Notamacropus eugenii: one gene and its partners. The protein of the gene in region 3 purifies or fractionates together with the protein of the main gene of each other region. This does not show direct contact. Links are inferred from orthologs where the notes say so. Each region holds a gene or a part of one and is shown on either strand. Other genes may lie near its edges. The genes, in order: SBF1, SBF2, MTMR2 and MTMR10.

Evidence for each region.
Region 1: the proteins of MTMR2 (region 3) and SBF1 purify together in Homo sapiens (affinity purification with mass spectrometry; 6 studies listed by BioGRID and IntAct, with this or other methods). This does not show direct contact. The link is inferred for Notamacropus eugenii from reciprocal best matches to the Homo sapiens genes MTMR2 and SBF1.
Region 2: the proteins of MTMR2 (region 3) and SBF2 purify together in Homo sapiens (affinity purification with mass spectrometry; 3 studies listed by BioGRID and IntAct, with this or other methods). This does not show direct contact. The link is inferred for Notamacropus eugenii from reciprocal best matches to the Homo sapiens genes MTMR2 and SBF2.
Region 4: the proteins of MTMR2 (region 3) and MTMR10 purify together in Homo sapiens (affinity purification with mass spectrometry; 5 studies listed by BioGRID and IntAct, with this or other methods). This does not show direct contact. The link is inferred for Notamacropus eugenii from reciprocal best matches to the Homo sapiens genes MTMR2 and MTMR10.

Annotation. Positions count from the first base shown.
Region 1 is NC_092874.1:303,833,683-303,841,507, reverse strand, and holds the start of SBF1 (myotubularin-related protein 5), read right to left. Parts: upstream 3,006-7,825; 5' UTR 2,918-3,005; coding exon 2,860-2,917; intron 1-2,859. UniProt on the Homo sapiens protein: Acts as an adapter for the phosphatase MTMR2 to regulate MTMR2 catalytic activity and subcellular location. Promotes the exchange of GDP to GTP, converting inactive GDP-bound Rab proteins into their active GTP-bound form.
Region 2 is NC_092877.1:35,162,781-35,170,190, reverse strand, and holds the start of SBF2 (myotubularin-related protein 13), read right to left. Parts: upstream 3,013-7,410; 5' UTR 2,941-3,012; coding exon 2,886-2,940; intron 1-2,885. UniProt on the Homo sapiens protein: Guanine nucleotide exchange factor (GEF) which activates RAB21 and possibly RAB28. Promotes the exchange of GDP to GTP, converting inactive GDP-bound Rab proteins into their active GTP-bound form.
Region 3 is NC_092876.1:162,162,392-162,170,158, forward strand, and holds the start of MTMR2 (phosphatidylinositol-3,5-bisphosphate 3-phosphatase MTMR2), read left to right. Parts: upstream 1-4,759; 5' UTR 4,760-4,900; coding exon 4,901-4,980; intron 4,981-5,606; exon of another isoform or gene 5,607-5,659; coding exon of another isoform or gene 5,660-5,694; intron 5,695-7,767. UniProt on the Homo sapiens protein: Lipid phosphatase that specifically dephosphorylates the D-3 position of phosphatidylinositol 3-phosphate and phosphatidylinositol 3,5-bisphosphate, generating phosphatidylinositol and phosphatidylinositol 5-phosphate.
Region 4 is NC_092872.1:150,817,559-150,825,154, reverse strand, and holds the start of MTMR10 (myotubularin-related protein 10), read right to left. Parts: upstream 3,008-7,596; 5' UTR 2,812-3,007; coding exon 2,746-2,811; intron 2,020-2,745; coding exon 1,959-2,019; intron 1-1,958.

The DNA of each region.
Region 1 (7,825 bases), on a different chromosome or scaffold from region 3:
GATACCCTGGCCTTGGGGGGAGGGGAAGGGAGCTGGCAGACAGCCCAGTGAGACCCCAACTGTGCCAGACTCAAAGCAGGGAGGAGTTCCTGGTAGAAGATAGCTCTCTCTCCCTAAAAAGGGACTCAGTCACACTGGGAGTTACTTCAGGACAACAAAGGATGCAATACTTATCCATACAAGGAAAAACAGAAGGGGGGGTACAGTGATGTGCAAAGCACCCCCACCTCCCTAGGCCCAAGCCACAGCACCTGCTCACATGGCCCAGGCCCCAGGGGCAGACATCCTGAGCCAGGCCTACCCAGTGCCTCTGCTTCTGCCTAAGCAACAGGTTAAGTCTCTGCTACTCCTCACCCTCGTTCGTGCAGGGCCCCAGGGACCCAAAGCCGTGAAGAGGTTGGTCTCTGCCCTCAAAGAGCCTCTTGGGAGGCAGATGGTTGGGTCTCATCTTCTTTTGTTATCTACCAGTGCACGTGGGCTGGCTACCTCAGTGGTTAAGCCCTAGAGATGAAGAATGCAGTCTTGTGGGCACACACTAACCTCTAACTTGATGGCTGAGTCTGCTAATCCCAGAGTGAGGATGGTTTTGTGCAGCTCTTCCCACTACCACCAGCCAAGGTCCACAAGGGTCTGGTAGCAGAAATCAGCAGGCATTTCCTACAGTTCTGGTATCCACCCCCTCCATCCAACCTGGCCCTTCTCCTATGCTGGCAAAACACGCCTCCTGGGAGAATCCAGCATCGATCATTTGGTTGAGTTCACTCCCTAGGGTAGGTCCCCTAGGATAGGGTAGGAAGCAGGGGGAAGGTCTGGGCCCTTCAGGGCGGAGCCTAAGGAAGAAGGCTGAGCATCCACACCAAGGGGGATACCCGGCCTGGGCATGGCCACTCTCCACGTGGAGCCCCCTCCTCAGGCTGGCCATGGACCTGCCCCCAGTGGGATGGCACCCACTGCCCCAGATTCAAACCATGTCTCCTCTGTGCCTCTCCCAGGTCAGTGGTGCAGCAAATCATGCATGGCCCCATGTCACAAGCAGCTTCTTTTCCAAGTGGAAAGCCCTCTTCCACACACATACTGTCAGAGCGACCTTTGGTCCTTGCGTTCCTGGGCCTCCTCCCCAGCCCTCAGGGTTCCAAGGACCCCAGCTTTCCTTGCATGCTCTGGCTAATGCTGTCTCCTCCCCAGCTCCAATTTCTATCCATTTTTCAAGACTGAAGTCAAAACCCACTTTCTCTGGGAAAACTTCCCAGGATGCTCCAACTCACATATGTCTTCCTTCTCTGACTTCTTACGGCCCTTACAAATCAGTGCCAAACAGGGAATGTTCCAAGGGCCTTCTGTGTGTGAGGCCTGGTGTCTACATACCCAGCCCTGTCCTCTGGTCCTGTCCTACCATGATCCTCACACCATGTCTAAGAAATTAGCAGGCAGCAGCACAACCATTACTGCCCCACAGGTGGGGACATGAACTGGGGGCCAGGGGAAGGAAAGGCATTCCCTCAAAGTTACCCAACTGGTAAGGGAAAACCATGACACAGGGGACATGTAGGGGATGGTCCATCTGGCTTCTCCCAGTGCCCTGGGGGCAGGTGGCCCTCACCACCTCACCCTGGCTAACTGTACCTCCTCTTCCGAAAATCACACCTGCCTGGAGGATGCCATCCAGAGCTGGACACCACCCAGAACATCCCGCTCAGGCCCTGGCATCCCTACTTCCTACCAAGTTCCCTTCAAGGCCCAGCTGCTAGTGCCTTCCTCCACCCCCAGGAATTACCTAGTATATACTGGTTAACATATCTTGTATTTATTTATCTGTGTGGATGCAGCCCCTCCCCCCTCCAGAATGAGAGCCTCTTCTCTTCCTTGGGCACCAGGCCTGAGCACAGAGGGCTCTGAGTTCAAATGCTGCCTGACCCACAGTCTGATTGTGCATAGACCACACTGGTAGAGGCCCTTTCCAGATGCCAGCCTTCGCCCCAGCCCTTGGCACAGAGCAGGCCCCAGGAAATGTTTTGTGGTACCTGACCCAGCAAGTGCACGAACCAAAGGTCCCAAGTGACCACCCCAGAAACACCACTGGCTGCTAGTTTGGGGGTGCAGGGATGTAACACCTACAGCTAGGGGAACAGAGGAGCCACTAGTAAGTGACGGGACAGAACAGCTGGTTTAGGGGTGCAGGGTGACATCTTTAGTTGAGAGGGATAGGACAGCTGGTTTGGGGGTACAGGATGATCTCTGGAGCTGACAGGGGCAGGGCAACTGGTTTGGGGTGCAGAGTGATATCTGCAGCTGAGGGGGTAAGGTAGCAGGTTTTAGGGTACAGGGCAACCTCTGCAGCTGAGGGGGGCAGGGTAGCTTGTCTTGGGGTGCAGGGTGATCTCTGCAGCTGAGTGGGATAGGGCAGCTGGTTTTGGGGTGCAGGGTAACCTCTGCAGCTGAGTGCGATAGGGCAGCTGGTTTTGGGGTGCAGATCACCTGAAGCTAAGTGGGGGGCAGCTGGTCTTGGGGTGCCAGTTGGCTTGTGTGGCTGGTTTTGGGGTGCAGGGTGGCCTCTGCAGCTGAGTGCAATAGGGCAGCTGGTTTGAGGGTGCAGGGTGATCTCAGCAGCTGAGAGGGGGAGGACAGCTGATTTTGGGAAGTCAAGTGGCCTGTGCTACTGGTTTTGGGGTGCAGGTGACCTCTGCAGCTGATAGAGGGAGGGCAGCTGGTTCTGGGGTGCAAAGTGGTCTGTGCAGATGGTTTGGGGGTGCGGGGTGGCCTGTGTAGGTGGTTCGGGGGCAGTGACATCTCTGGCAGGGCACTGAAGGCCCCGCCCCCTCCCCCTCAGTGCCCCCCTCCCCCCCGCGGCCCCCAACTCACCGGCGCGCGGCCCGGGCCCGAAGGCCACCAGCACGAAGTAGTCGGCGAGCCGGGCCATGGCGGGCGGGCAGCGGGCGGACGGGCGAGGCGGCTGCGCGCTCACGGCCCGGGCCCGGCCCCTCGGCCCCGGCCTCGGCCCCGGCCCCGGCCCCGGCCCCGACCGCGCTCCCCGGCCCCGGCGGAGGATGAGGCTCCAGCGGCTCCCGCCGCCATCTTCCCCCGGTCCCTCCCTCCCGGCGTGCGCGCGCGCGCCCGCGGCTGCGTCGGCGTGCCCCTCCGGGGGCGCGCCCGCAGCCCGCCCCGCTCTCCTCCGCAGCGGGCCGGGAGCCACTGGGACCTGAGGGGGCGTGGCCAGAGAACCTGGGCGGCCGCTGTCGTGGGGGTGTGGCCAACGAAGGACGGCCACGCCCCTGCTGTGCGAGGTTACCCCGCCCACATCCTCCTCTGCCTGTCCTCGGGCTGGGGCGAGGGCACCGTGTCAGGCCCTCGCTGTCCCTGGACTTGGGCCGCCATCCCACCGCAGCCCGCTCTACCCCTCTTGGCTCAGGTGGCCTGCCTCACCTTTGTTACCCCCCCAGAACCCTGCAGCACCCCAAATCTCAGGCCCGGGACCCCCACATCTTCCTAGTCTTAGGACCCGCTCGCCTTGGACTCCCCCCGTCCAGCCTCAGACTCCCCAACCTTTGCTCGGACCGCTCCTCAGTTCAGGCCACCACCCTCCCCAACCATCGGTTCCGCCCCCCACCATCTTGTATAGCACCGCACCCCTTGGGCTCGGGCCCCCCGCAAACCTCCCAAACTATTGTCCCTCCCCGGGCTCAGCCTCCTGCCTCTTTTCTGAGATCCCAGCGCTTCTCCCGAACCTGGAATTGGCAACAGCCCCTTCCCCCCAAATCTGCTGAAACTGCCGCTCCAAGGTCACCGGGTAGCAGTACGGCTGAGCCTCTAGCTCCACAACACCCACCACCTCTCTAATTCACTCATTTTAGTAGCCAGTTACTGTAGGGAAGGTACTGGGCTGGTCTCCGGACTGATGCAACAGGTCCTACCCTCCAGGTGCTTATGTCCTAAGATGGGGCAGGGCAGATATTGGGAGTCCCCAGATTAGGAATGGGGAGGTGATCTGAGGAGGAAGAGGGCTCTCCTTCTCTGGGAGGGTAAACAAGGGCAAAAGAATGGAGGAGGCTAGGGCTAGATCCAAAAGGTCAAGGGAAGGAAGAAAGAGCTTTCCAAGTCAATCATTGAGCATTAAATAAGAAATAAACATTTTCAACATAGTTAATTGAATGATTTTGATTGTTTGAATGTTTGTTTCTCCCACACAAAGGAAACGCATCAATCATTAAAAGCAAGAGCTCACCAACACAGACTTAAACATGAAGCAGTAACTTCCAACTCCTATCTTACTTTCTAGGCAGCACAGTAACTTGATTTCATGGATCCCCAAAATGCTACAAAGACTCCTCAGTGAGATCAATGGCCTCTCAGAAGAAACCTAGCAATCCATACAGGAAAAATTGAGTGGACGAAGACTGCTTAATGCCCACACTCTGTCAGAGATGTGGAAGGAGAACCCACTGAATTAGGCCAACTGTATGAATTTTATAGACAGATACTATTAATCTCATCCACTCCCATGGATTTAGGAGTCAGGAAGACCTGAGTTTCAATCTGGCCTAAGATACTTCTAGCTATGTGACTCTGAGCAAATCACTTAACTTCTGTTTGCCTCAGTTTCCTCACTGGTAAAATAGGGATAATACTATCACCTACTCATCCAACCATTCTGGAGAGCAATTTGGACCTACGCCCAAAGGTCTATGAAACTGTGCATACCCTTTGATCCAGCAATACCACTTCCAGGGCTGTATCCCAAAGAGATGATAAAAAAGGGGAAAGGACCCAAAGTACAAAAATATCTATAACAACTCTTTTTGTTGTGGCAAAAAATTGATGGGGATGCCCACCAATTAGGGAATGGCTGAACAAATTGTGTTATATGAATGTGCTGGAATGCTATTGTGCTATAAGAAATGATGAGCAGGTGGATTTCAGAAAAACCTGGAAAGACTTATATGAGCTGATACTGAGTGAAGTGAGCAGAACCAGGAGAACACTACACAGTGATAACAACATTGTGTGATCAACTTTGATAGACTTAGCTCTTCTCAGCAATGGAATGATCTAAGACAATTCCAAAAGATTCGTGATGAAAAAATCTAGCCACATCTAGAGGAAAAACTATGGAGTCTGAATGCAGATCAAAGCCGACTATTTTCTTTGTTTTCTTTCTTGTGGTTTTCCCCTTTTGTTCTGATTCTTCTTTCATAACATGACTAACATGGAACTATGTTTAATATGATTGTACATGTACAAGCTATATCAGACTGCATGCTGTCTTGGGGAGGAGAGAGGAGGAGAGGGAAATTTTAGAGCTCAAAATCTTATAAAAGGGAATGTTGAAAACTAAACATAAATTAACTAATTCTACTGCCTGTCTTCCAGGGATGTTGTAAGAATCTAATGAGAATAATTGTGAGGTACTTTGCACAGTGCCCTGCCCACAGTAGATGCTATATAAATGTTAGCTATTATTATTATTATTTCTATACAGATGATTCTCAGATCTATTTATCCAACCCCAAACTCCCTCAGGTACTGTTGACAACTGCCTATTTGTTGGTCATGTTGAATTGGATGTCCCATAGACACCTCATACTCAATATGTTTAAAACAGAATTCATCATCTTTACCCCCAAAATACCCCTCTTTTCTGAATTTCTCTATTACTGTTGAGGGCACCAGCACCCTCCTAGGCACCCAGGCTCATAACCTAGGGGACATCCTCAACTTTTCCCTCACATTTACCTCCTATATAGAATCTTATTGTTTCTACCTCCATTATCTCTTGTTGCCAACTCCTGTCAATTCTGCCTGTATAAAAAGTAGCAACTAAGTGGTTTAGTGGATAGAGCAATGAGCCTAGGATCAGGAAGACTCCTTTCCATGAGTTCAAATCCAGTCCCAGACACTAAATAGCTGTATGACCCTGAGCAAGTCACTTAAACCTGTTTGCCTCAGTTTCCTTATCTGTCAAAGGAGCTGGAGAAGGAAAGAGCAAACCACTCCAGGATCTTTGCCAAGAAAATTCCAACACCATAAAGAGTGAGATACAAGTGAAATGACTAAATGAACAGTAAAATCTTTCTCTTGAATAGCCCTCCTTCTCTCTTCTGCAGGATCTCACAATCTCTCCCTACTCCAGTTCATCTTCCACTTAGCCTTCTTCACAGTCTTCTGATATTACAAAGGAACTATGTGGTAGAGAGAAATACAGGAGCTAAAATGGATGATTTTAGAAAACATATTTGAATATATTTTATTTTTCCCCAATTACATGTTAAAACTTTTTTTTAACATTCAAAAAAAATTTGAACCACAAATTTTATATCTCCCTCCCTCCCTTCCTTCTACCCTGAGATGGTAAGCAATCAGATATAGATTATACATGGGGAATCATATAAAACCTTTCCATGTTAGTCATTTTGTACAAGTAGAGTCAAATAAAAGAAAAAGAATGAAAGAAAGTGAAAAATCCTGCTTCAGTCTGTATTCAAACAGTATCAGTTTTTTCTCTGCAGGAAGACAGTCTGTTTTATCACTAGTCCTTTGGGATCGTCAGTGAAGTAATTCACAGTTCTTCATTGTACAATATTGCTGTTACTGTGTACAACCTTGTCCTGGTTCTGTTTCCTTCACTTTACATCAGTTCATGTTTTTCCAGGTTTTTCTGAACTCATCCTGCTTGTCATTTCTTACAGCATCATAATCACACACCATAACTTGTTCAGCCATTCCCCAATTAAGGGGCATCCCTTTGATACTCAGTTCTTAGCCACCACAAAAAGAGCTGCAATAAAATGGATAATTTTGATGACATTAAATTTAAAAAATTTTGCAGAAATAAAATCAATGAAGCCAAGATTAGAAGGAAAGAAGAAAACGGGGAAAATTTGTACAGCAAGTCTTTCTAATAAAGGCCTTGTTTCTCAAATATATAGAGAACCAAGTCAAATTGATAAAAATATAAGTCATTCCCAATTGATAAATGGTCAAAGGATATAATGTAATTTTCAGATTAAGAAATCAAAGCTATCTACAATCACATAAAAATGCTCTAAAATCATTGCTGATTAGAGAAATGCAAATTAAAACAACTCTGAAGGGCCGTTTCGCACCTATTAGATTGGTTAATATGATCCAAAAAAAGGAAATTGACAAAAGTTGGAGGGGATATGGGAAAACTGGCATACTAATGCACTGTGGGTAGAGTTGTGAAGTGATCCAACCATTCTGGAATGCAATTTGGAATTATGCCCAAAGGTCTATAAAACCATGCATACCCTTTGACCTCATAATACCACTACTAGGCCTGTATGTACAAAAATATTTATAGCAGTTCTTTTGTGGTGGCAAAGAATTGGAAGTTTAGGGGATATACATCAATTGGCGAATGTCTGAACAAGTTGTGGTGTAAAATTGCAATGGAATAAGAAATGATGAGCAGGATGCTTTTAGAAAAACCTGGAAAGACTTACATGAACTGATGCAAGGTGAAATGAACAGAACCAGGAGAACACTGTACACAGTAACAGCAATGTTTTACATGTATCAGCTGTGAATGATTTAGCTATACTCAGAAACACAGTGATCCAAGACAATTCCAAAAGATTCATGATGAAAAATATTATCTACCTCCAGAAAAAGACCTGTGTGTAGAAAAGGCTCTGAGTGTAGATTGAAGCATATATTTTTAACTTTCTTCATTTTTTATGGGTGTTTTTCTTGGGAGAATTTTTTTGTTTTTGTTTTTTACAACGTGACTAATACAGAAATATGTTTTGCATGACTTCACATGCGTAATCTATATCAAATTGCTTGCCTTCTCCATGAGAGGGGAGGGAAG
Region 2 (7,410 bases), on a different chromosome or scaffold from region 3:
AATTCTAAAACCTAAAATCCTACAAATTCTCTTTAATGAGCAATAGGTCACTAATAAACTAAGCCAGGCACCATTTGCTTTGGATGAAATTCAAAGAAACTATGAAAAAAATTACTCTTACAATAAAAATGATTGGACAACCAAAAAAAAAAATTTGAGTAAATATAATGTACTGGTGTAAATGAACATTCAGGAACTATATATCTTCCTAAAAACATAGCTTATCATTAAAAATGACATAAATTCATTTCTTAGCTTTCAAATACTTGATAAACATTTTTAGAGAACAAAAAATCAAGGCTGATTCAAAGTCATGAAGGTCAATTTTGATGCTTTCTCTCTATATAAGATACCAATTTCTTTATATGAAATTGAATAAATCCATTAGTAGAGTAGGACAAATATTTTAAAGCAATCAAAATTCAAAATATTGTCAAAAGTACAATGCAAAACTTTAATAAAAACTATAGTGGTTTTTACACTCAAGAAACTCATGAGAAACAAAAGAGATAGTATATATAACCCTTAAATTACATGACATAAAATTCATACTAACAGTGTATTCTAATTGATAAAACTATTCAACAATGAAACAACATCTGCCATTTAGGAGAGATCCTGATTCCCCTTTTCTTCCAGGGGAGGAGGACTTTTAACTGCCACAAAAGAAACACAGCCAATCTGCATAAAGTACTGCTATACTTGATTCTCTCTAAGGTACCAAAGAAGTTTAAAAGGGCCTACTTGAACCTTAAAAGGGGAAACCTGAGTTTCATTTAAAGAGAGAGGGATACATCTTACTCAAGTTCCAATATTTTGAAAAGTTAATTAAAAGGGAAGTATATTTAATTACAAAGTAACTTTATAGATAAGAATACAGTGGATTTGTAGTTTAGAGTATAGTTGACAATTCTAGGAAAATCTAAGTCATCAATGACAAAAAAAATCTTTATGTATCAGAGTCTCTTGCCATAATCATTAAAAGAAGCCTTTAAATTGTGGTTAGCAATTATAAACAATTTAGGCAATAAAGTCTTGGGGAAGGGGGACGTCTTTAAAATTAAAGTTTATTCATTAAAAGATCCATAATTTCCTAATAATTTAACAAACAGGACTGTATTTTCATCGCAAGAAAGTGTATTTTTAATCCTTCTAAAATAACATTACTGAAATTGAAAGTATTATTGGAAAAGTAATGTCAAATACAGACAACTAATTAATCAACAATGGGGGGAGTATTTCGTTCGATGTCAAGATTCCATACTATTCAACTAATATGAACTTGAATTAAAGTTGTTGAAAGAGAACACAATGTGGCTAAAAGAAATTAATACCACTTTATTATCACTGAAGAACTTTCATACTCAAACTGTATCAAGCTGACAGTGCCTGGCACACAGTAGTTGCTTCATAAATGCTTTTTTCCTTCCCCTTCTCCCCAGGTGCAAACTAGGTTGGCCCTTCTTTTTAAAGAAGAGGGAACATTCTTATAAAAGGTCAGGATAACAAGGAGTGATGAAAGATTACTATTGCTGTTAATAATAACTAACATTTCTAGGGCCCATTGAAGGTCTGCAAAGTGCTTGGTGCATGGTACGGTCCTCACAACCTTGTGAGGTATGTGTTACTATTATCCTCATTTTATAAATGTAAAAAAAAAGAGAGAGACATTAAATGACTTGACCTGGGTCACACAGGTGGTAAAGTACACAAGGGAGGTTTGGACTCAGGTCTTCCAGCTTCCAAATCCAACTCCCTAGCCATAAAGCCAAGGAAGTCATGGGAAAGCTCCCACAAGGAAACTACACTAAGGGGCAACAACTCAATGGGAAAAGTACACGCTGAGATATCCCTTCTAACCTAAGGAGGGTGGCCAAACTCTTTTCGGCTTGGTTTCTTCATCTGTAAAAGGAGGGAAGAGGGAAGCAGATGATCTTTAAGCTTCTTTTCTAATACTTATCATGCTAAAGTAGAAGAGCTTTCGGTGTTCCACTTGCTACTGCTATACTTTTATGGTACTTATACTTTTTATGCTATGCTTTCATGGACATAAATGAACAAAGATGGACGAGAGAACTGCCACAAAATTCCTCAATTGTATAAACATGAGAAAAACGAATTTTTAAAAATCACTGGGCTCCATGTTTAGGAAAGTATTCTTACCAAGAACCAAAAAGTCTGGTATTTTCCCAAATGAGGAGAACAAAGAAAACGTTTTAAAGTAACATTTAGTTACTTAGTAACATTCAGTTGTTTCACCTGGGAAACCTCTTACCCTCGTCCTGAAAGAAGCGGACAGGGCCGTGCCCAGGGAAGCTCCCTAGCCGGGCTGGGCAACACCCCATCCCGCGGTCCCCACAAGCGGTTACACGGGCCCCCAGGGCGGGAGAGGAGGCTGCGCCAAGGACCCGTCCGAACTCCCAGGGGCCAAGGCCGCCCGTCCAGTCCCGTCTATTCTCCCTCCCTCGGGACTCTCCCTCCGGGCCCGCCCCCCTCCCTCCACTGTCTCCCAGTCCCCTCGCAGGAGCAGGGAAGCACCGCCCCGCCCCCCGCCCCAGCCTCGTTCGGGGCTGGGACCCGGCCTGGCCTAAGCCCCGTTTTCCATCCTTCCTTCCATCCCTCCCGGCAGGGCGGGGCAGGCTGGGCCCTCCTCTCCCTCGCTGGTCAGCGCAGCCCCGGGCCCAGTCGGCCCGTCCTGCGCCCCGGCCCGTTTGGGAAGGGCCCGACGCGGGGCGGCGACGGGGAGCCCCCGGCCCGGCCCGGGCCTGCGGGGCCGTTGGGCCCGGGGCGGGGGCGGGGGCGGGGGCGGCGGCCGAGGGGAGGAGGCGAGGAGGGAGGGGCCGGGGGCGGTGCCCGCCCGCCCCGCGCCGGCCCCACGCCCTTACCTGTCTTCTCGTGGTCATAGCCCACCACGATGAAGTAGTCCGCCAGCCGCGCCATCGCCGCCGCCGTCCCCGCGCCCGGGAAGCGGGACCCAGTCCCCGTCGCCGCCCTCGCCGCCGCCGCCGCCCGCTCGGCCCGGGAGCGCTCAGCATTTTCCCTCTACCGGCGGTAGCAGCAGCGGCGGCAGCGGCGGCACTTCAGCCATGTTTGACAACCGAGGTGCGCTCTGCGCCTGCGCCGGGCGCCGCGCCGCGCGAGACTCGCTCCTCCTCCCGGCTCCTCCCTCCCCTCGGCTTCCCAGAGCTTCCCTGGAGCTACGCAGCCTCGGCCCGGGCCGCCCCACCCCTCCCCCCGCCGTCGGCGCTCCTCCCCCTCCCCCTCCCCCTCCCCCTCCCGCGCCCGCCTCGCTCCTCCCCCTCCCGCGCCCGCCTCGCTCCTCCCCCTCCCGCGCCCGGGCTGGGAGCAGCTGGGGTTCGCACAGGCCTCTCCTTCCCTCGGCCCATTTGTGGAGCGGGGACCCTAGCGGGCTGGGGGGCGGCTACCGAAAACTCCGCGGCCAGTGCCCTGGAATCCGCCCCGCCGGGGCTTTTGCCGCTGGTTTCCTGTTTACGCGGCGCGGTCCCGTTTTCCGAGATCTCGCAGCGGGCTGCCAGGAAGGCCCCGCGGGCTGCCGTAGCCCCCCGGCCGTGCCAGGGCGCGGGACAGCACCAGGGTGCCCTCCTGCTTCGGGGGGGGGGGGGGCGAATGCAGGCCACCCCGGACGGACAGCTCGCCCTGCCCTGAACGCTCGGTCACCCGTCCGTGGCCTCTGCTCTCGGGCCACGTTAATGTCTTGGGCACTCCCATGAGATCCCAGCGCCCCAGGACAAGAGGCCGGGGCCGGACAGTCTGAGGTCCCGGACTTCGCCCTTCCCCTTGTCCACGGCCGGCAGCCTTTGGGATGTCACTGCAGTGGTCCGGCCGCGCCTGGCCGAGGGCAGGGTACGACTTGATCTGAGTTATTCCTGAGTCGGTGAAAGCCTTTCCTTAAAGCCTTCCTCTCGGACTTGGAAGGGACTTGAAGCGGACTTGCCCTGCACGCAAGAGTCCCCTGCGAGCGCGGAGCTGCTCATCCACGCTGCGCTGCGGTTCTGGTTCTAGGACGGCTCTCTCGGTTCTCCCTCATTCCACGCAGGGAGCTGGACTCCGCCACCACCCCGCCTCCGTCCCAGGAACTTCCACCCCAGCTTCTGCTTCGGTCACTCGATGCTTGCAGAGCGTGTCTGCTTCGTTCTCCACATAAGAAATATTGGAAGAAAGGGATATCCTCCGAATTAGAAGTACAGGGCAGAAGCTTGTCGGATGAAGTTTCCCGACAATTAAAGCTGTCCAGAAGCGGAACGACCGCCTTAGGACAGAGCGGGTTCCCTTGGAGTAGAGCTCTCCAAGCAGAAGCTACATAGCCACTTACTGGCTGAGTGTGTATGCTGTGGACGGTTTTTTATTTAATATGTGGATTGGACTAGACCTCTGGTGTGTTCCAAATCTTAACATTCCGTGATGTCCTTGCTAAGTCTCTCCTAAGACTTAACTGCTTTGTAAAAGACACTGTTAAGAATGTATCATGTAACTTAATTATTTCTGACTCCTGTGCTTATGAATTCAAAAGTATCAAAAAAGCAACTCTCCCCCAGTTAAGATCCTCTGACAAGCCCTCTATGTCAGTTTCCAGAATCTGGTTTCAACATGTGGAATATATGCATAATATACACCCATGTATCCAAGATGGCACATTCCTAGTCCATACAAGTATTTCACATACAAATAAAGTAGCTTTGCCCTTTGCTCCCTAGCCAACAGCTGCCTGGAGGCTGAGGTTGATAAGCGTCTGACAACATAGCCAGATTAGCAGGGTTGGCCATAGGCCAGAAAATCCCCCGAGATCAACAAAAACACCACCACCTTTCACTAGCTGCCTGAACAAATGTAGATTTGTTTTCCCCTGAGCCTCGGGAAGAAACTCCAGGGCCAAGCAAAGGATGAAAGAGGCAACAGTCTCCAGGATCCAAAGCATCTCCTTCCTTGTCTCAGGGCGGAAATGGCAAAGAGATAAAGAAAGAAGGGAGGTTTGCCAACTTCCCGCTGCTGCAGAACTGCTGCCTTTTGTGGGTAAAGTGGCTAGGTCTCTAAAATCATTCAAAGTACTTCCTGTGGTTTGTCTCTACTCAACAAATTAGTGAGCTGAGGTTTACTCTGCACAAGGTACTGGGCTGAGACCTGCTTATTGCAAAGTCACTGCAATCCTGCCTTGGTTAGCCTCACCTCTAAGTCATCAGATTTATGTAATAATAATATTTACATGGGGCTTCCTATGTGCCTGGCACTGTACTAAATACTTTACAATTAATACTCCATTGGATCTTCACAGCAACGCTGGGAAGTAGGTGCTAAAAGCTTTACAAATATTACCTCATCTGATCCTCACAATCATCCTGGGAGGTTGGAGCTGTTATCATCCGAATTTGGCAGATGAGGAAACTGAGACAAACAGGTTAAGTGACTTGACCAGGGTCATACGGCTACTGTCTGAGACTAGGTATGAACTCAGGTTTTCCTAATTTCAGGCCTGACGCTCTATCTACTGTGCCTCCTAGCTGCTATATACATATACACCTATATAGAACTTATAGAAAACATTCAGGCACATAAAAGTCCCACTGGGTCAAATTAATAAATCATTCAGCCCGGTGTGATATCCCTGAGAGCCTATTTAGTGGAATTGTACGGCCTTATGGAAACTGTTCTCCCTAACCTCATCCTAAGAGGAGGAGATGCACACCCCAATCGCTTTCCCTCCTTTCGATAAGCTAATTTGGCTATATCATCCACTGGATCAACTCCTATACTCTAACTCCATGTGCACTTTGTTTACCCTGTTTGGGTAAAGAGTTTCATATGTTCATGTTGACTGCCTGTTGTGTCAAGAATGACCATGCTTGTACTTGTCCTAAAAAACTACAATGTCTCCTTTAATCTTTCAGGGTAGCTCCTTATCTAGTTTAATTATGAACAAGTCTCTGTAATCCTATATGTCAGAGGCAAATAAGACAAATTGTGCCTGGATTAAGAGACTTGAGATCTCCATTTGCTTTGGGCAGGACTTTCAGAGAACCACCCTAGCCGTTGAACTGATGGGGTGAATCAGACTTTGGAAGTGAGCTTCTCAGTGGGTTTTGAGGAAGGGGTTTGGAACTAGGAGCTATAAAGTGGAATTTGTTTTGTTCTTCACCCTGAGGTTCTGGTGTGTGCATTTTTATCCCTTGAAGAGCCAGGCCAGGAAAAACAGGATTCAACTAGTGCTTCTGCCACTTCTGCTGGCATGCCTTTAGGGAAGTCGCTTAAACTCTCCATGTTCTAGATTACTCTAAAACTATAAATTGCAGGCAGGTGCTGACTTGTTCTGGTCTCTGTCCACTATCCTATCCTTGACCATATTGTCAGTTTTTAAATGTCTATCAGAGCTTTCTATGGAACCCTTTGAATACACTACCTTTCAAACAACCTTCTAAAAGTTAAGTATAAATCCTACCCAGGTCACAGAGCAAGTTAAAAGGGGAGCCAAGAGCCATCAAATGCTTCTTTTTCAAAGAAGCAAATGTTCTATTCTCTGCTTTTCATACACATAGTTCAAACAGTGAATTATTTAGCCTAATTTTCTTTGCAGGGTGTGTTCACGATATTTAATTGGGAACCAGTTTAAGGAAGTGACCAAGAATATTTTTATAATCCAGAGAGGCCTGGAGAAAATGTAGGCAGTGTCATAAACAGCTGGTCAGCCCTTCACCTACTCTCCATTTAACAGCAGACAGAGGCAAAAGTGCTGGCCAGATTGCTTTTTTTTTCCCTGTGTATCTAACTGAGAACAGAGAGAAAAGGGATAGTTCCAAGAATGAGAATAGTTCCCACCAGCAGCCTCAAGACCTCATATGGCCTTCTAGGTCTTCAGATGTGGCCCTTTGGCAGTCAAAGGGGCGAACTCGAGGATCTAGAGAACCAAATGGGACCTCGAGCCAAAGGTTAACCTGAAAGCATTCAGGGTTCCTTTAAAAGTTTCACAGGTAGTATGTGTATACATATGTGTGTGTGATTATATGTGTGCCTACATATTGAGAGAGATATGGATGAATAGAGATGATATAGCTTAGATGCAGATGTCAGTATAGATATGGATAGGTTTAGATATGCATGTGGCAGCCTGGTATAGTGATAGAGAGCCTGCCTCTCACATATATCTGGGTTCAAATAATGTTGCTGATACACACTGTGGTCCCACAATTCATGGGCAAGTGACTTCATCTCTTAATGTCCTCGAGTAACTCTAATTCCAAAGGTTACAGACCTAAGGAGGTTCTAATCTGCCCTTAAGGTAGGGCCTTTCCATACCTACTGTTTTTGAAATGCTTGAAATAACAGGTTTAAGCTAATACTTATTTTTAGCTCCCCTAGATCCTTTCTTCCCTCTTCTTAGTGGGGGGTGGGTGGGAAGAA
Region 3 (7,767 bases):
CTTCCTAGAGTAGAAACTCACTGAGACACAAGGTTTAAACTATAGATACTCTAACTGGTAAAGTGTCACATTCATAGGGAGTATTTTATTGAAAGCTGGTATCTTAAAGTGCAACAACAACAAAAATTGATAATGATCCAGTAAAGTGTTATCTACTTAGTAAATATTTGCTAAATGAATGATCTCTGGGGATTACTCCTGGTTACAAATTATCCTGTGGTAACTTGTTTAGAGAATGAAGGGATATCTGACAATTCAGTCTGCTCCTCCTTTCCTCTTCCCATCTTCCATTTGTTCACATACCTGAGATTGTTACCCTTTTGCTATGTTTTTGCAGTCTAAATTTGTTTTTATTGTCATAGATTACAGCTGTAAAGAACCTTAGGAGTCATCTGGGTCAGCCATCTCATTTAATAGATCAGGAAACTGAGCTTCAGAAAAGTTAAGTGACTTGCCCATGTTCACAGGCAATAAGCAGCAGAACCAGATTTTGAAATCTTGTCTTCTGGGTTCTAACTTTTTCACTCAGAACTTTTAGTGATGGGTAGCATTTAACAAACTAGTATAATGGATCTAGATTTACATAAGAAAATCTTTTGGTTTGCAGTAAGCTGTAAAGTTGACACCTTAACAATTTGGGCAAGAGAAGTCTAGATTGCAATTGTGTAGTTTGCTAATTAGATCATCTATTCTAAAGTGGCCTGGGATGTAAGATCGTAAAACCACTGAGAGAGAATAATACTCTGTGTGTGTGTGTGTGTGTGTGTGTATGCGTGTGTTTTACAAAAGAGAAAGTTTAGAAATTACTTAAAGTATGAGAAGATAAAGGTATGGTCAGTTGGCTTTCTCCCAGGAATGAGACATAGAAATCACTAAACCAAAAAGAAATTCAGTCTGAATTCAGTTTTCACCCCCAACATATTGACTCAAACGTACTCTCAGAAAATGTTGAGCTGCTTAACAATCTTATAGTCTCTTGGGAGCAGGAGACACAATACAAGAATATACCATTGGAAAGGCATTGATGAGCATTGGTTTATAATATTAAGTGTTACTTAGTTTTGTCCTGAGGGTGGACTATTGGTCTTCATTCTATATTACCTTGTCCAAGATAGGGAATAGGGTCTGAACCTGAGATTTCATTGATATGTACATGAGGAAACTCCCTCTACCTATGCAAGTCAGCAATTTCTTTGTAATTTATAGTCTCAGTTTCCTAGAACACCTAGAAATTAAGTGACTCACCCCAGGGTCTCCTGACTTTAGAACCAGTATTCTTTCCATTGTGCAGTACTAGAAAGGATCTTGTGAAACTAGATAGAATTAAAGAACATGGTGGCAATGAACCAGCAAGGAAGGGGGAGAAAAGGGGAGGATGAGGGGGAGATGGTGAGGAAGGCAGGAAAGGGAAACAAATAATAAGCTATATTCCCAAAGCTGTTATCGTAGCTGTTTGTCAAACAGTGTTCTGACTAACTGGTTCCTCCACCCATCACAGAACAGTAAAGCTTTCTTTGCCAACTAGGGAAATAGAAGTGATGTAACCAGTACTACTGAGTGGCCATCACTGGTCACCAGCAAACTGCAGGGTGGAAGAGGCAAAATCCTTTGTGTTTAAACACAAACACATTCAGTCACGAGCTGTTAAGTATATGGTGAACAGGGCTATCCTTCATTTGGCTTGTGGGTGTGTAGTTGACAGTTCAGTTAATTTCTTCTTGTCTCCTGTTGATTTTACATAGTTATGGAAATAAAAAAAAATCAGCTGCCCAATAGAAGAATAAATTTGGGTTCACAAATCGAGATGAAAAAAATTTTCCCTATCATCAAAGTACTTTTTTTTTTTACAGGTTCATTGTATAATTTGCTAATAGTCAATAACAGCTTTTTCTCACTCTCTACATTCCAAGAGATGAAACTGCAATTGTTCACTATCAATTTTAAAATGCCTCAATTGTGTCCTTCCTCTGATCTTCCTGTGTCCTCTGTTAGCAAAAAATTACTGGCAGCAGCATCCTCCCTTTGCCCAATTCTGCTCTCTTATCATCACAATCAATGTCTGGCTCTCTCTTCAACTCCACCTTCCTGTTCCACCGGGGAAATTGAAAGGATCAGGAATAGTCAACCTAAGCTTAACCTAGGCCTCACCCCCATGACATATTTAATTTTCCTCTTGCATTATTTATGTCCCTTTCTTATATTGTTTTGTGGGCAGGGAACTAAGAAAAGGGAAGAGGTCTGGTACCAGCCCTGAAGTATTAGGTACTTTCTCCCTGCAGTTTCTTTTCCATTTTTCTCCTTTTTCTATTCATTCCATACTCTATATTACCAACAATACCAAGTCCACACCAACCTTATACTCCTACCCAATCACTCCAAGTTATTGGGACTGCAGACTTTATCATATTTTCCATTGTTGCTGAGTGGTTTCAGTGTAGTACAACTTTCCAAGCTCCCATTTGGGGTTTTCTTGGCAAAGATACTGGAGTGGTCTGCCATTTCCTTCTCCAGCTTATTTTTACAGATGAGGAACTGAGGCAGAGTTAAATGAGAGTCACACAGCTGGAAAGTATTTTGAGGCCAGATATAATCTTAGGTCCTTCTGACTCCAAGACTATCACTATTTACTGTGCCACCTAGCTGTCTATATTCTCTAATACTATTTTTTTCCCAAAGTACCCAGTCTGTGTCTCTCACCCATACAATCAATATTAGCAGCTAAAAAAATCCACTGGGCATATCTGTGTATATATGTATATATATACATATATACACACATATACATACATACACACATACATATACACATATATACATACAAATACACACACAGACACATATATCCTTGAATTTGGGGCATATGAACTGATCATTCACCTCTGTCTCATTCTACTTGCCATTATTCTAATACCCTAAACTTCAACCTTCTCACCTCACCCAAAAATCTCTAATCCTCAGATCTTCGCCTTGGCTTACTTTCACAAGCCATTTTTGTCTCAGTCATTCCCATGTCACCATTTCCCTTTATTTCCATATTCCTCAAGTCACAGAACCATAGATTTAGAGCTGGAAGGGACACCATCTCACTGAGATACCTTCAACCTTGTTCTCTTTTCTTTTTTTTATTTTTTTATTATTATTATTATTATTTTTTAATGTTTAACAATCACTGCCATACAATTGAGATTTTATCCCCCCCACACCTACCCCCCACTACCCCCCTCCCTCCCCACGACTGCATACAATTCTGTATAGGTTCTACATATACTTTCCTATTGAGTACATTTTCACTATAGTCATGCTATGTAGTCAGACTAAGATAAATGAAAGAAATCGTATAACAAATCAGAACATGATACACAAACACATACACATACACAAACATGATCTGTTACATTATGTGAGTGACTACACATACACAAACATGATCTGTTACATTATGTGAGTGACTTCCATATTTCTCTCTCTGAGTGTGGAAGGCATTTTGCCTTGAGAACCACCATTGGGATTTTTTTTTTTTTTGTAAGAAGTTCTTGTGTTATTACAAAAATCTAAGTCTACCAGAAAAAACTCTCACACACTGTGGTCGTTGCTGTGCATAAAGTTCTCCTGGTTCTGCTCCTTTCACTCAGCATCAGGTCATATAAGTCCTTCCAGGCCTCTCTGAAGTCTTCTTGTTCATCATTTCTTATGGCACAACAGTACTCCATTACATTCATATACCATAATTTATTCAGCCATTCCCCAATTGATGGACATCCCCTTGACTTCCAGTTTTTGGCAACTACATAGAGTGCTGCTATAAATATTTTTGTACATGTGGGACCCTTTCCCATTTTTATGATCTCTTGGGGATACGGTCCTAGTAGTGCTATTGCTGGGTCAAAGGGGATGCACATTTTTGTAGCCCTTTGGGCATAGTTCCAAATTGCTCTCCAGAATGGTTGGATGCGCTCGCAGCTCCACCAACAATGAATTAGTGTTCCAACTCTCCCATATCCTCTCCAGCATTTATCATTTTCTTGTTCTGTCATGTTTGCCAATCTTATAGGTGTGATGTGGTACCTCAGAGTTGTTTTGATTTGCATCTCTCTAATCAAAAGTGATTTAGAGCATTTTTTCATATGATTATAGATATCTTTAATTTCTTCCTCTGAAAATTGCCTGTTCATATCCTTTGACCATTTATCAATTGGGGAATGACTTGTACTTGTTCTCTTTTCTGCACCCCACTTTTATCGCTTGTGTGTGTTCTGTTGTGTTTGACTCTCTGCAACTCCATTTGGAATTTTTTTTTTGGCAGATACCAGAGTGGTTTGCATTTCCTTCTCATGCTCAATTTACAGATAAGGAAACTGAGGCAAACAGGGTTAAGTGACTTGCCCAGGGTCACCTTGCTAGCTAGCAAGCCTCTGAGGCCAGCTTTAAATTCAGGAAGATGAATCTTCTTGACTTCAGGCCCAGCCCGCCAGCCACTGCCCTACTTTGTCCCTTACTTATCAGCATTGCCCCACTCACTTCCAACCACACCTCCCTGACCTTTTTACAACCCCAGTCATGCCTTCTCCCGTTTTCCCCTCACTCTGACTCACAGCCCCATCCTATGTCCCTCTCCCCCTCCCCCTCCCCGGTGTCACCCAGAAAGCCCCATCCCCATCTCCATCTCTAAGGTGTCTGGCCTCGCTAACCCCTCAGGAGGAGGGAGCCGGGGGCGGACCAGGGGGAGGGCGCTCCTCCAGCTCCGGGCGAGCCCCCTCCCGCAGCCCCAGCTCTCTCGCGGTGCAGTCTGGGCGAACATGGCCGCTTCCTGTCTGCGGTGGGGCTGGGAGGCTCGGGGCTGACCGCGGCTCCTCCTGTCCGCTGCCGCCGCCGCCCAGCCTAGCTCTCGAACGGCCGCGCCATGGAGAGGAGCTCCAGCTGCGAGAGTCTGGGCTCCCAGCCCGCGGCAGCGCGGCCGCCCAGCGTCGACTCTCTGTCCAGGTAAGCGGGCGAGCCCCGGCCCCGCTGAGCCCCGGCCCCGCTGAGCCCCGGCCCCGCTGAGCCGAGCCCCGGCCCCGCTGAGCCCCGGCCCCGCTGAGCCGAGCCCCGGCCCCGCTGAGCCGAGCCCCGGCCCCGCTGAGCCCCGCTGAACCCCGGTCCCCCGGAGCCCCGGCCCCGCGGAGCCCGCCTTTCTGCTCCCGCGGGCCCGGCTCCAGCCCCACCAGGGCGTCCCGGGCTCTGCCCGCCTCCCCCGTCCCGGGCTGCTTCATCCTCTCCCACCCCCTGGCAGGGACCCTCAGTTGGCATCCTGGGCACTTTACACATCTGACAAGCGATTCCGTTCCTTCTTTCCCACCCTTTTCCTCCTTTCATTCCTCCTTTCTCACTCTTTTCCTCCTTCCTTCATGCCTCCTTTCCCATCCCTTTCCTCCTTCATTTTTACTTTCCCATCTCTTTCCAATTTCCTTCGTGCCTCCTTTCCCATCCCTTTCCTCTTTCCTTCACTCTTATTTCCCATCTCTCCCTTCTCCCTCCTCGTGCTCTCTCAAGAAACTCTTTCCCCCTGCTTCTGTTAAGGGTTGTCATGGAAACGCCCTTACTCTTTTTTTTTTCTTCTAACTCCCCAGACCAAAGTTTAGGTTCTGGGATTCCTGGGCAGCCCTCACCTCTGAGGGAGTGAATGGAGAAAGGAAACCCCCTTAGAGAATGTATCAGGTAGGCCAAATGAGAGGGCATTTTTCTTACCCCCTGCTCCCATCTCTTCAGTTTTTCTGATGGCCTGAGTGCTTGATAGGATTGTTGGGGTTTTGTGTTTGTTTTTAACATTTTGGAAGTATGGAAGAAAGTCTTAGATTATTAAGTCGCAGGTTTCCCAGCAAAGTTCTTTGTGAATAATAGCGGGAAGCTTGTGGGTCATTGAAATCTCATATGTCTTGAAATAGTTTTTTTTTAAGTGGGAAAAAAAAGTAATTGAAGTGGTCCATTTGTTATATAATCCTAAAAAGGTTTGGGAACATCGAATTTGCAAATGGATTAGAAACATCATAAATTAGGATCAGATTTTTAGAGCTCAAAGCTACTCTCATTTTACTGCTGAGGAACTGAGACTCAGAGAGGTCGAGTGATTTGCCCAGAGTTAATAAGTAGCTGAGCCATGATTTGAACTGAGGTCTTCCTGATTCTAAGTCTAGTGTTCTGTCATTCTGTTTGCTAATGTAAAATAGTCCAAAGAATGAAGAAGTATCACATATTAAGCAGTTCATGCGTTTTGGTACTTAAATCTGAAATTATGCAAGAGAGTAAGAACTTAGCTTTCTTTGAATTTGATTGTTTTTTCAATATTAGTGTTAAGTATTTGTTTAAAAATAACTTTAAAAATTGCTAATGATTACTAAGAAAAAAGTTTAAAAATTATTTAGAAATACAACAGCAGATTTAGACGTTAAAACTGTATAAGCAAAATACAGATTCCAAACTGTGGTTTAGAATTGCATACAGATTATAGTTTACTTTATATAGCACTTTATAACATATTATTAGATCTTCACAATTTACTCTCTGATGCTTACTCTCTATTTGACCTTGGACAAGTCACTAAGCTTTTCTGTATCCTCAGTTTCCTCATCCACCTCATCTCAGTTTTCTGACTAGTATGGGTTATCTTTCTATTCACATCAAACTCATTTGTAGAATGAAGAGGTTGGACTAGATGCCTTTTGAGTTCCTTTCCAGATCTATATCTTTGATCCTATTCCCATCTTGTAGATATGAAAACTGATGTTCAGAGAAATTCAGAGACACATACTTCGTCACACAGCTTGTGTTAATGGCTAGATTTTAAACCTGTCTTCTGAGGTATACTTTTTTGAACAACTGCAATTAAAAACAATCTGTAGTTGAATGTCATGTGTGCATATGTGCTTACTCTTTTAAAAAAAATTATGATGCTTACCTACCTGGAAACTTGAGGTGTAAAACTTTTTCCAAAAAAAAAAAGACTCTACCTGTAGATACCCTTTGCTACTCTGGACAGTGTTTAAATGAGTAGAACTTTTGTCTGGATACAATCACATAAAATCCTAAAACTTTCAGATTTAGAAGGAACTTTGAAGGCCATCAAGGTCATCCCGTGACTGAATAAGTCCCAACAAGTGATTATCCAGCTTTGTCTGACAGCCTCTACACAGGGGGAACTCACTGCCTTCTAAGACAGACCATTCTACTTTTGTACTGCTCTAGCCAGGAAATTTTCCTTTCATGAAACTCAGATTTCCCTCATTGCAGGTTTACTCCTCGTTCTGCCTCTGTGGGCTAAACTGTTCTTCTCCATATGAAAACCCTTTAGATTACCTGTAGACAGCTATTAGGTCTCTCAAATCATTTTTTATCATACTAAACATTCTTTGCCCCTTCAGCAGTCTTCATGTGGCTTTATCTGAGGCCTTTCAATGCAGTTACTCTTCTCTGGACATTTTTCCGACCCATCAGTATTTTTACTAAAATGTGATGCCCAGAAATGAAACTGATCAGGACAAGAGCACACTGATACAATTACCTCTTTAGTTCTGAGTACTATGCTTCTCTTAATGTAGCTTAAGGTTTTTTTTAAGATTACAGTAGCTTAGGTTTGGTTTTTTTTTGACTACTGTGTCATTCCACTGACATATTTTGAACTTTCAGTCCACTAAAATACTCAGATCTGTTTTTTTGTTTGCTAAAGAACTGCTACCTATTTATGTTTCCCCCATCCTATATTTAGGGTTAAAAACAATAAGAACAACAATAAAA
Region 4 (7,596 bases), on a different chromosome or scaffold from region 3:
TTTAGGCAGTATCATTTCATAGCTGTATGACTTCACCTTCCTGAGCACTGGTTTTCTCACCTGTAAAATGAAAATTCACCTCCTATCCCTAGTTCCATCCACAGTTCAGCTCAACTGTCCCCTTTGTATAAAGCCTTTCTTTATCCTTTCAGCTTGAATGCTCCCCCGCCTCCAAGGAAATTCCTTTGAATATAATGTCCAGATACTCTGTACTTATCTGCGTATCCATTTCCACTTTGGAGATAACCTTCTAAAAGAGAATTGTTTTCATCTGATCTAATTTAAACTCCAGCACCCAGCATAGTACTATGATAGTAGGCACTTGATGCCTTTTAACACTAAATATTATGATTCTTATCTTTTGACAATTACTTTTTGTTTACAAACTTATCTGAAGTCACAGGTGACATGACTGAGTTTTTTCTTGGTTTCTGGATTCATGAAAAGCCAGGGTCAGTTTCTAACAGTAGCATATTGTTCAATATATTCTAGAAAAAGTCTAACAGTCTTGCTCTTTAGGTGGCCCTGAAGTCTTATTGATGAAAATTGAGGGTGGAGAGCCAAGAGGGAAAAATGAAAAACATAAAGAGACTTGCCTTGGGCACGAATCTTGGTTTTTTATTCATCTCTGTATAATCTAAACTGCCTTGAACATAGTAGACAGTCGCTAAGTGTTTGCTGAATAACTATGGTAAATGAAGTATTTTTCAGAAAGTTAAAGCAAAAATATATATTAAATTTTTAATCTTTTAAGTGTAAAAATCTAATTATTTGTAAGGTAAACAGAATGACTGGAATATTTTTGATGTTAAAAATAATTTATATTATTTTTTAAGACGAGGCAATGGCCACTCAATGAATAATTCAAATTTTTTGTCAGTATTTACTATTCTTTATATTGAGGGAAAAAAGGTTCTGGTTATCATAGCTTAAATGAAAAGCATTTTAAGAAAATAAGTAAATGTGTAATCCCTATTAATGATTTGACAAATCATGAAAATTATCTATAAGAATAGAAATTTGGAACCTTTAACTTGTTTGGACAGAATCTAAATTTTAAATAGCTAATAGGCACACATTTAAAAGTAGCACTGCTTCATATTTAAAAACAATATACAAAAAGTCTCCAAAGTGGCTACGAATGTGTTAATTAGAGCATGCATGTGTATCACAGTTTTCTTAACAAGTTTATTCTGAAAAAAAAGAAAAACACGACCAAAAAAGAAATATTTGTAGCTACGTATTCAAGTTTCATTTTTGTAAGCAGTTAACACAACACTTGAGAACTGGTATTGGCTAATGTGTTTTTATATACTATATCTTATTTTAAAACAAAATTTACAGTCCACGTACTCATTCAATGAACTCTACCACTCTTGTACGTTTCAGCAGAAATACTTCAGATTTAGTAGAGTGCCCTGCATACAGTCGGTGCTTAATGTCTGCTGAAATGAACCGTGTACAATCACTGTCACGTAGCCCCAAACCCCGCACACGATACCCCGCATCTCCGTCACATCAGCCCCCCCAGCGTCCCGGAGATGTGGCTATTCTCCCCGCACGTCTACTGGACAGCCCCAGGTCCTTCTCTCCACACTTCATGGAGAACCCAACGATCCCAGGGGCAAGCTCACTGCGAAGCGAGCCAGAAGCCCCGGACCCCCTCACCACCTGTGCCAGCCCAAGCCAGCACGCCCCAGCGCCCCGGCGGGCCCCTCCCGCGGAGGAGACGCGGCCCACGGCGCCGACCCCCGCGCCGGAAAGCTCGGACAGACACAAGCGCCACCGACGTCCTCCCACAGCGATCGTTAAACTCTCCTCCGCGGGCATTCCCGGGTGTAGCCACGGCTTGGGCCGGTCCGGAGCCCGCGCCCTTACCTGGGTGGCCAGCCCGCCCTCCCCCGCGGCTGCCCGGCCGGCACACTGACGAGGCCCGGGGGCGGCGCGCCCGTGCTCACCTGGCAGAAGCGCGGCCTCCAGCTTCCTGATCCTGGGCTCGGGGCTCCGCTGGTCTTCATCCTGAAACGCACCGGGGAAGCCTCAGACACGCGTGACCCAGAGCGCGTCCCCAGCCCGCTCGGCTCGGGCGCTGCTGGGACCGGCGGTCCACACCGCTGCCGCTCGCTCGGGGGGCTCCCTCAGCTTCCACCCCCCCACAACGTTAACGAGGGTGCGGCATCGGACGGGGACCCCCCCTACACACGGCCCAGGGTTGGGGTTACTATTTACCCTCTGCTGCACCACCTTGGCCCTCCAGCGGCAGCAGCAGGGCATCGGGAGGGCCCCGCCAGGGGGCGCCCCGCGGCTCGGAGCGAACGGGGGAGCGGCGCCGCGGACTCGGGCCAGGAGCTGCTTCCAGGGCCAGAGGAGTTTTAAAAGTTTCCCCGGGACCGGCCTGGGGGGTACGGGGAGAGACTGGTGCCGATCCGGGCTCCCTCGGTGGTTTAGGGGTTGGAGACTCGAACCTGAGTGGGGAGCCTGCTCGTGGGGCGGCTCCGCGAGTGGGGCACGGGACCGGTGGGGTACGGTTCTCGTGGGCTGCTTCCTCCCCACCTGGGAGACGCGAAGCCCCAACCACCGGAGTGGAAGGAGAAGTCCCGACCCTCTCCCCGCCCCCCAGCCCCACGCGAGCCCAACACTCGGAGGTGGGGGGAGGGGCGCCCCCTCCTCGGCCCCTCTACGCCCCCCCTCCGTCATGGCCCCACGAGGATCCGGTCGGCGGCGGGGGGAGGGGAGGCTGTTTACCTGAGGCGGCGACGCCGGCGGCAGGAGGTAGGACCTGAAGGTGGGTCGGGGCGGCTTGGAGAACATGGTGCCCCCCACGGCTGCTTCCTTCCTTCCCACCTTTCCTCAGCAGGGGCGGCGGGGCTCACCCACCCCGGCGAGGGGCGGGGGGCAGCGGCGCAGGCAGGGCCGCCTTCCTTCCCCAGCCACGGCCACGGAGTTTCCCGGAGGAGTCGCCCAGGCCGTCTGGGTCTGCGGCCACCCCCCCCACCCACCCCCCACTGGGCGGGCGGAGACTGGAGCGCCCGGAGCGGGGAGGAGGAGCCGCGGGGGCCGAGCCCGGCGTGACGCGGCCCCTCGAGTTCCCAGCCCCCGGAAGGGACCTCCCCGCCTCCGCCCCCGCCCCCGCCCCCGCCCCCGCCCCACCCCGCGGGAGGCCTAGGGAGCGGAGGTGAAGGTGGAGGTGTCGGGGGGGTGGGGGGGGAAGCGCCCGCGTGCGCGCGCACCGCCGCTCGGAGCAGGCATCTGCCCCGCCGCGAAAGGTCCTACGCGGGGCGGCCGGGCACCCCCTGGGGGCGCGGAGGACGGCGGCCATGTTGGGCGACGAGAGCCGAGCGGGCCGCTACGGCGGCACACAGGGGCCAAACGGCCCCAGCTGCCCGGGAGGGAGCGCCGCGGGCCTCCGTCCCCGCCGGCCTCCGTCCCCTCCGGCCGCCGTCCCCGCCGGCCTCCGCGTTTGCCTGTTAGTCATCAGACTTAAGGGATTCGTTATTTCCAGAGAGGATCCGAAGCCCCGGATCCCCTGGTGGGGCCACAGCCGCCCCAGAAAGTGCCCCGGAGGGCTGGTACCCCGGAGGGCTCCTCCTCGCCGCCCCCGACCCCTAACTGGCCTTCCCGGGTTGAAGGACACAGTCCTTCGGACCCTTGGTTGCTCACCCGGTCAGCAAGCGTTTGTAAATGAACGAAGCGTTTATTGCGCCCCGAGGGGTGTAGGCGCCGAGGGCCGGGGAGAAAGCCCTCAGGGAAGTCACGGGGAACCCCGCAACCTGGCCATTAGTGATCTCGTGGAGAGACCCCTGAACCGGACCGGCGAGGCAGGGGCGGGGGAGCCCGGGGCCAGGCCGCGCCTGGGGGGTCCTCTTTGGGGAGCGCCCTCCGCGGGCACGGGGGAGCCCGGGGCCAGGCCGCATCTGGGGGGTCCGCTTTGGGGAGCGCCCTCCGCGGGCACGGGGGAGCCCGGGGCCAGGCCGCGCCTGGGGGGTGCGCTTTGGGGAGCGCCCTCCGCGGGCACGGGGGAGCCCGGGGCCAGGCCGCGCCTGGGGGGGTGCGCTTTGCCCGCAGGAGGAGCTTTACTGTGCGCCTAGGCTCTGCACGGGACGGGCTCGGGTCTTCACTGTTCTCTCGCAAACAGGGTTAGACGGGGAGCCTCCGAAGTGCTTCCCGGCCACGGAATTGTGTGGTTTATGCTAACAAATGACCGGAGCCTTGGGGTTCTGTGGCAGGGTCTTCCGAAGACCTTTGTGTCTCAGTAACAGTCCCCCTGCACGGTGTTACAGTGCGCTCTGGGTTGGCATCCCCAAGCCCACAAACAGTCGGCAGCAGCGACGCTGAGAAGCGCCCGCAGCCCCAGAGCTCCTCTTTCTCTAGAACCGACGTAGCTTGAATCAGACCTCCGCTTTATGAAAGCGTTGATCTCGTTCTGCTGAAGCTGTGACGAAGCCCTTTGAAGACGGGCTGCCTCGATCAGAGAAACTGAGGCAGGTAGGGTGAGGTGGCTTGTCCAGGGTCGCCCAGCGTGGGGCTCCGCAGGACTTCTTCCAGGGGTTCTGTCCCAGGACGGCCTAGGTAAGGTCAGTCAGCGTGGCACCAGGGCCTGCAGCATTTAAAACCCGGTGGCATTTCCCCCACACATCTAAGTAGATATTCTGCCAGTATGCCAAAGGAAATGTGCTTTCACTCTTGCAGGCTTTGGATCTTTTGGGGGTTATAGCTCTGTGGGACACAAAAGTGAAACGCTGAATTGTCCAGGGCTTTATCTACATTATGTGAGACACTGTCCAGTCCAATAAATCTGACTTGTTTGGTGTTAGTTCTCGTTCTCCCTGACCAGTCTGTGGGTCTGAAAGCTCCCTTTCCCAGCTTCCAGGAGATTGTAAGCTACTTGAGAGCACGGGTATTTATTTGTCTTTGCAATCCTACATTTCCCAATTTTTGAATTAAATTGTCTGGAATAAAATGCCTGGAATGCCCTCCTTTTTTAAAGTTTCCTGCTCAAGCTCACAGTCAGTGTGTGGCAAGGGTAGGCCTGGAACCAAGGTCGTCCTGACCCTGCACCCTCTATTCCTTATGCCAAGCTGCCTCTTGCATAACAAGATGTACTTTAGAGGTGCTTAATAAGTAAACGATGGTTGAATTCCATGATACTTTGGTTCAGATTCTCATCTTATTGCCCATTTCCTTTGCTACTCCTTTTTCTTTTTCCTCCTAAATATGTGCATCCCCCAAAAGTCAGACTTTGGATGTCTGCTTTTTCTGTCTCTCAAACCGTTTTTCTCATGGATTTAGCTAGCACTTTCGTACTGATGATTCCCAAATCTCTATCTGCATTTGACCTCTCACCCAGGTTGCAGTCCAGACTAGTTCTGGAACTGGTAACCTATCCAGATGTCTGCCAAATGTTTTCTCAGTAAAAATTCTTGAGAGGCCTAGGGGAAAAGATAACTAGAGTATAATGAGGCACTTGAGGAGGTGGTGGGAAAGTATGGTTTTTATTATAGAAGTGTACAGCGTTTCCACTAACCTTGGTTGTGAATCTTATATTGATGTTTTAAATTTGTGTTATATTATGAGCATGCTAAGTTTGTAAAGAAGAATACTCCAATAACTCTTAGAAACTGGACCTAATTGCAAATACAAGTCATTGCCAACAATGTCCAAAGGTAGGAACTGAGAAATAGAATGAAAATAGGAAGGAAAGGCAGTGTGAGACACTAAATTATGAATTAATAAAGACTATAAAATGAACTCAAAGTTAGTATTATTTCCTGTAACCTTACAAAGTGTACTTAAGCATTGTAGCTAATTCAGTTCAATAAACAATAAGCAAATAACCTGAACAGAAAGCATTGTGCTAGAATTTTGATGCATCTTGGAAAGATATAATGTAATAAACTAATCTTTGAAGGTGAGATTTTTTTTTGTAAGTAAGGAATACCTATGTAAATACTCCTACGTATTGTTTACTTGGTGGGCTTCATAACATTTTTTGTGTCATGCACCCCTTTGGTAATCTGATGAAGTCTATGGACCCCTTCCTGAATTTATGTTTTTCTGTGCATAAAATTAAATACATAGGATTACAGATGAAAATAATTATATTGAGATACAGTTAGCAAAATATTTTCAAAACAAATTCACGGACTATGGGTTAAGAACCCCTGCTTTAGACTGATCAGATCAGAGTAGATGCAATGGTTACAACATAAGTGGAAGGGTTTCTGATGTGTTCCCAGATTGTAAAATTGGGTTCTTAATAAGTCATATTAGCTCTGACAAGCTACTTAAGGAATTAAACTTGTGTATATCCCTACCAATTCGTTGAATTTAAATGTGCAATACAAATTACATTAGAGTTTTCATTTCTAACTCTGCAGTTAGGAATATAAATGAAGTCATCATTCTTTCCTTGCCTGGCATAAATATTTTTCTAGAGAAGAGTGAATGGCTATTTATGGTTGGTTGATCTAGGCATCTGGTTGCTTCATGGGGAACTGGTTATAAGGACTTGACCAATTTCCTCTGTGACTGGCAGCTGCCAACTCCCATCAGTTATATACACTATCTTCATATGCTTTAACTAACTGTTAAGTAAGTGATCTCTGAGATTAGCAGCCAGACCTTTTAGAATTTAAAAAAAAAATCCAGTTTTGTTGAACAAGGTTCCTTTGCAATGATATATAACAAAATGTATCTTAATCGGCACTCTTCCAGGGAGTAACCACATTGATGGGATCTGTGATTTATGTAGTGTTGAAGTATACTATAAAAATGTTTTTTATGTGAAGAGCAGCAAAATTTATTTAATCACAAAATTAGTTGAAATACATTAAAGCTATCCTATTGTTGTGTTCATCCTTCGTTGACAAAGAAGACCATGCCATCAGAGAAATGATGACATGACTTGCACTTGACTTTGTTTTGAGTGAGGGAGGGCTTTGCAGGTCACCAGCCTCACTTCTCCTCCAGAGCCATCTGAATCCAGTGACCAGATATTCATCAGGATGACTGGAGATGACCCAGGATGAACTGGGAGACCTTGGCCCCTTTAAGCCAAGGTCTGTTCAGGTACTCATTTAGGGTGAGGTAATGCCCATTCATTGAATAGGCCTGTTTAAGAAGTAGCCAAGAGGTGACCCCTTTAATGAGGCAAAGAAAAATGAAGATACTTTACCCAAAGTCCAAATTATAAAACCTCTTTATGGAGAGGTATACCTAGCTAGATTACAATGTATAAGAGTTTATGATCTCAAATATAAATATCTTTTCCTTATTTTAGGAATTGAGTTCTCATTCATTTAAGATAGTTTATTCATTACAAAGGCTTTCTAGTTTCCATTATTTTTATATTTCAAAGGGTCTCATATATACAATTTGTTAAGATTTTTAACAGTTCTACTTTCTTCATTTCTGATAATTTTGAATTTACCTTTTCTCAGTGAAATAAACTGGACAAACAAATCGCTGATTTAAGACAATTATAAAGATTTTGAAAGAGAAACACTACATATAATATGCTAAATTAAAAAGTACAGGCTATTTTTAAAAATGCTACAAATATCTAGTTTGCCAGTGTAGCAGATATGTGTGTGTTTG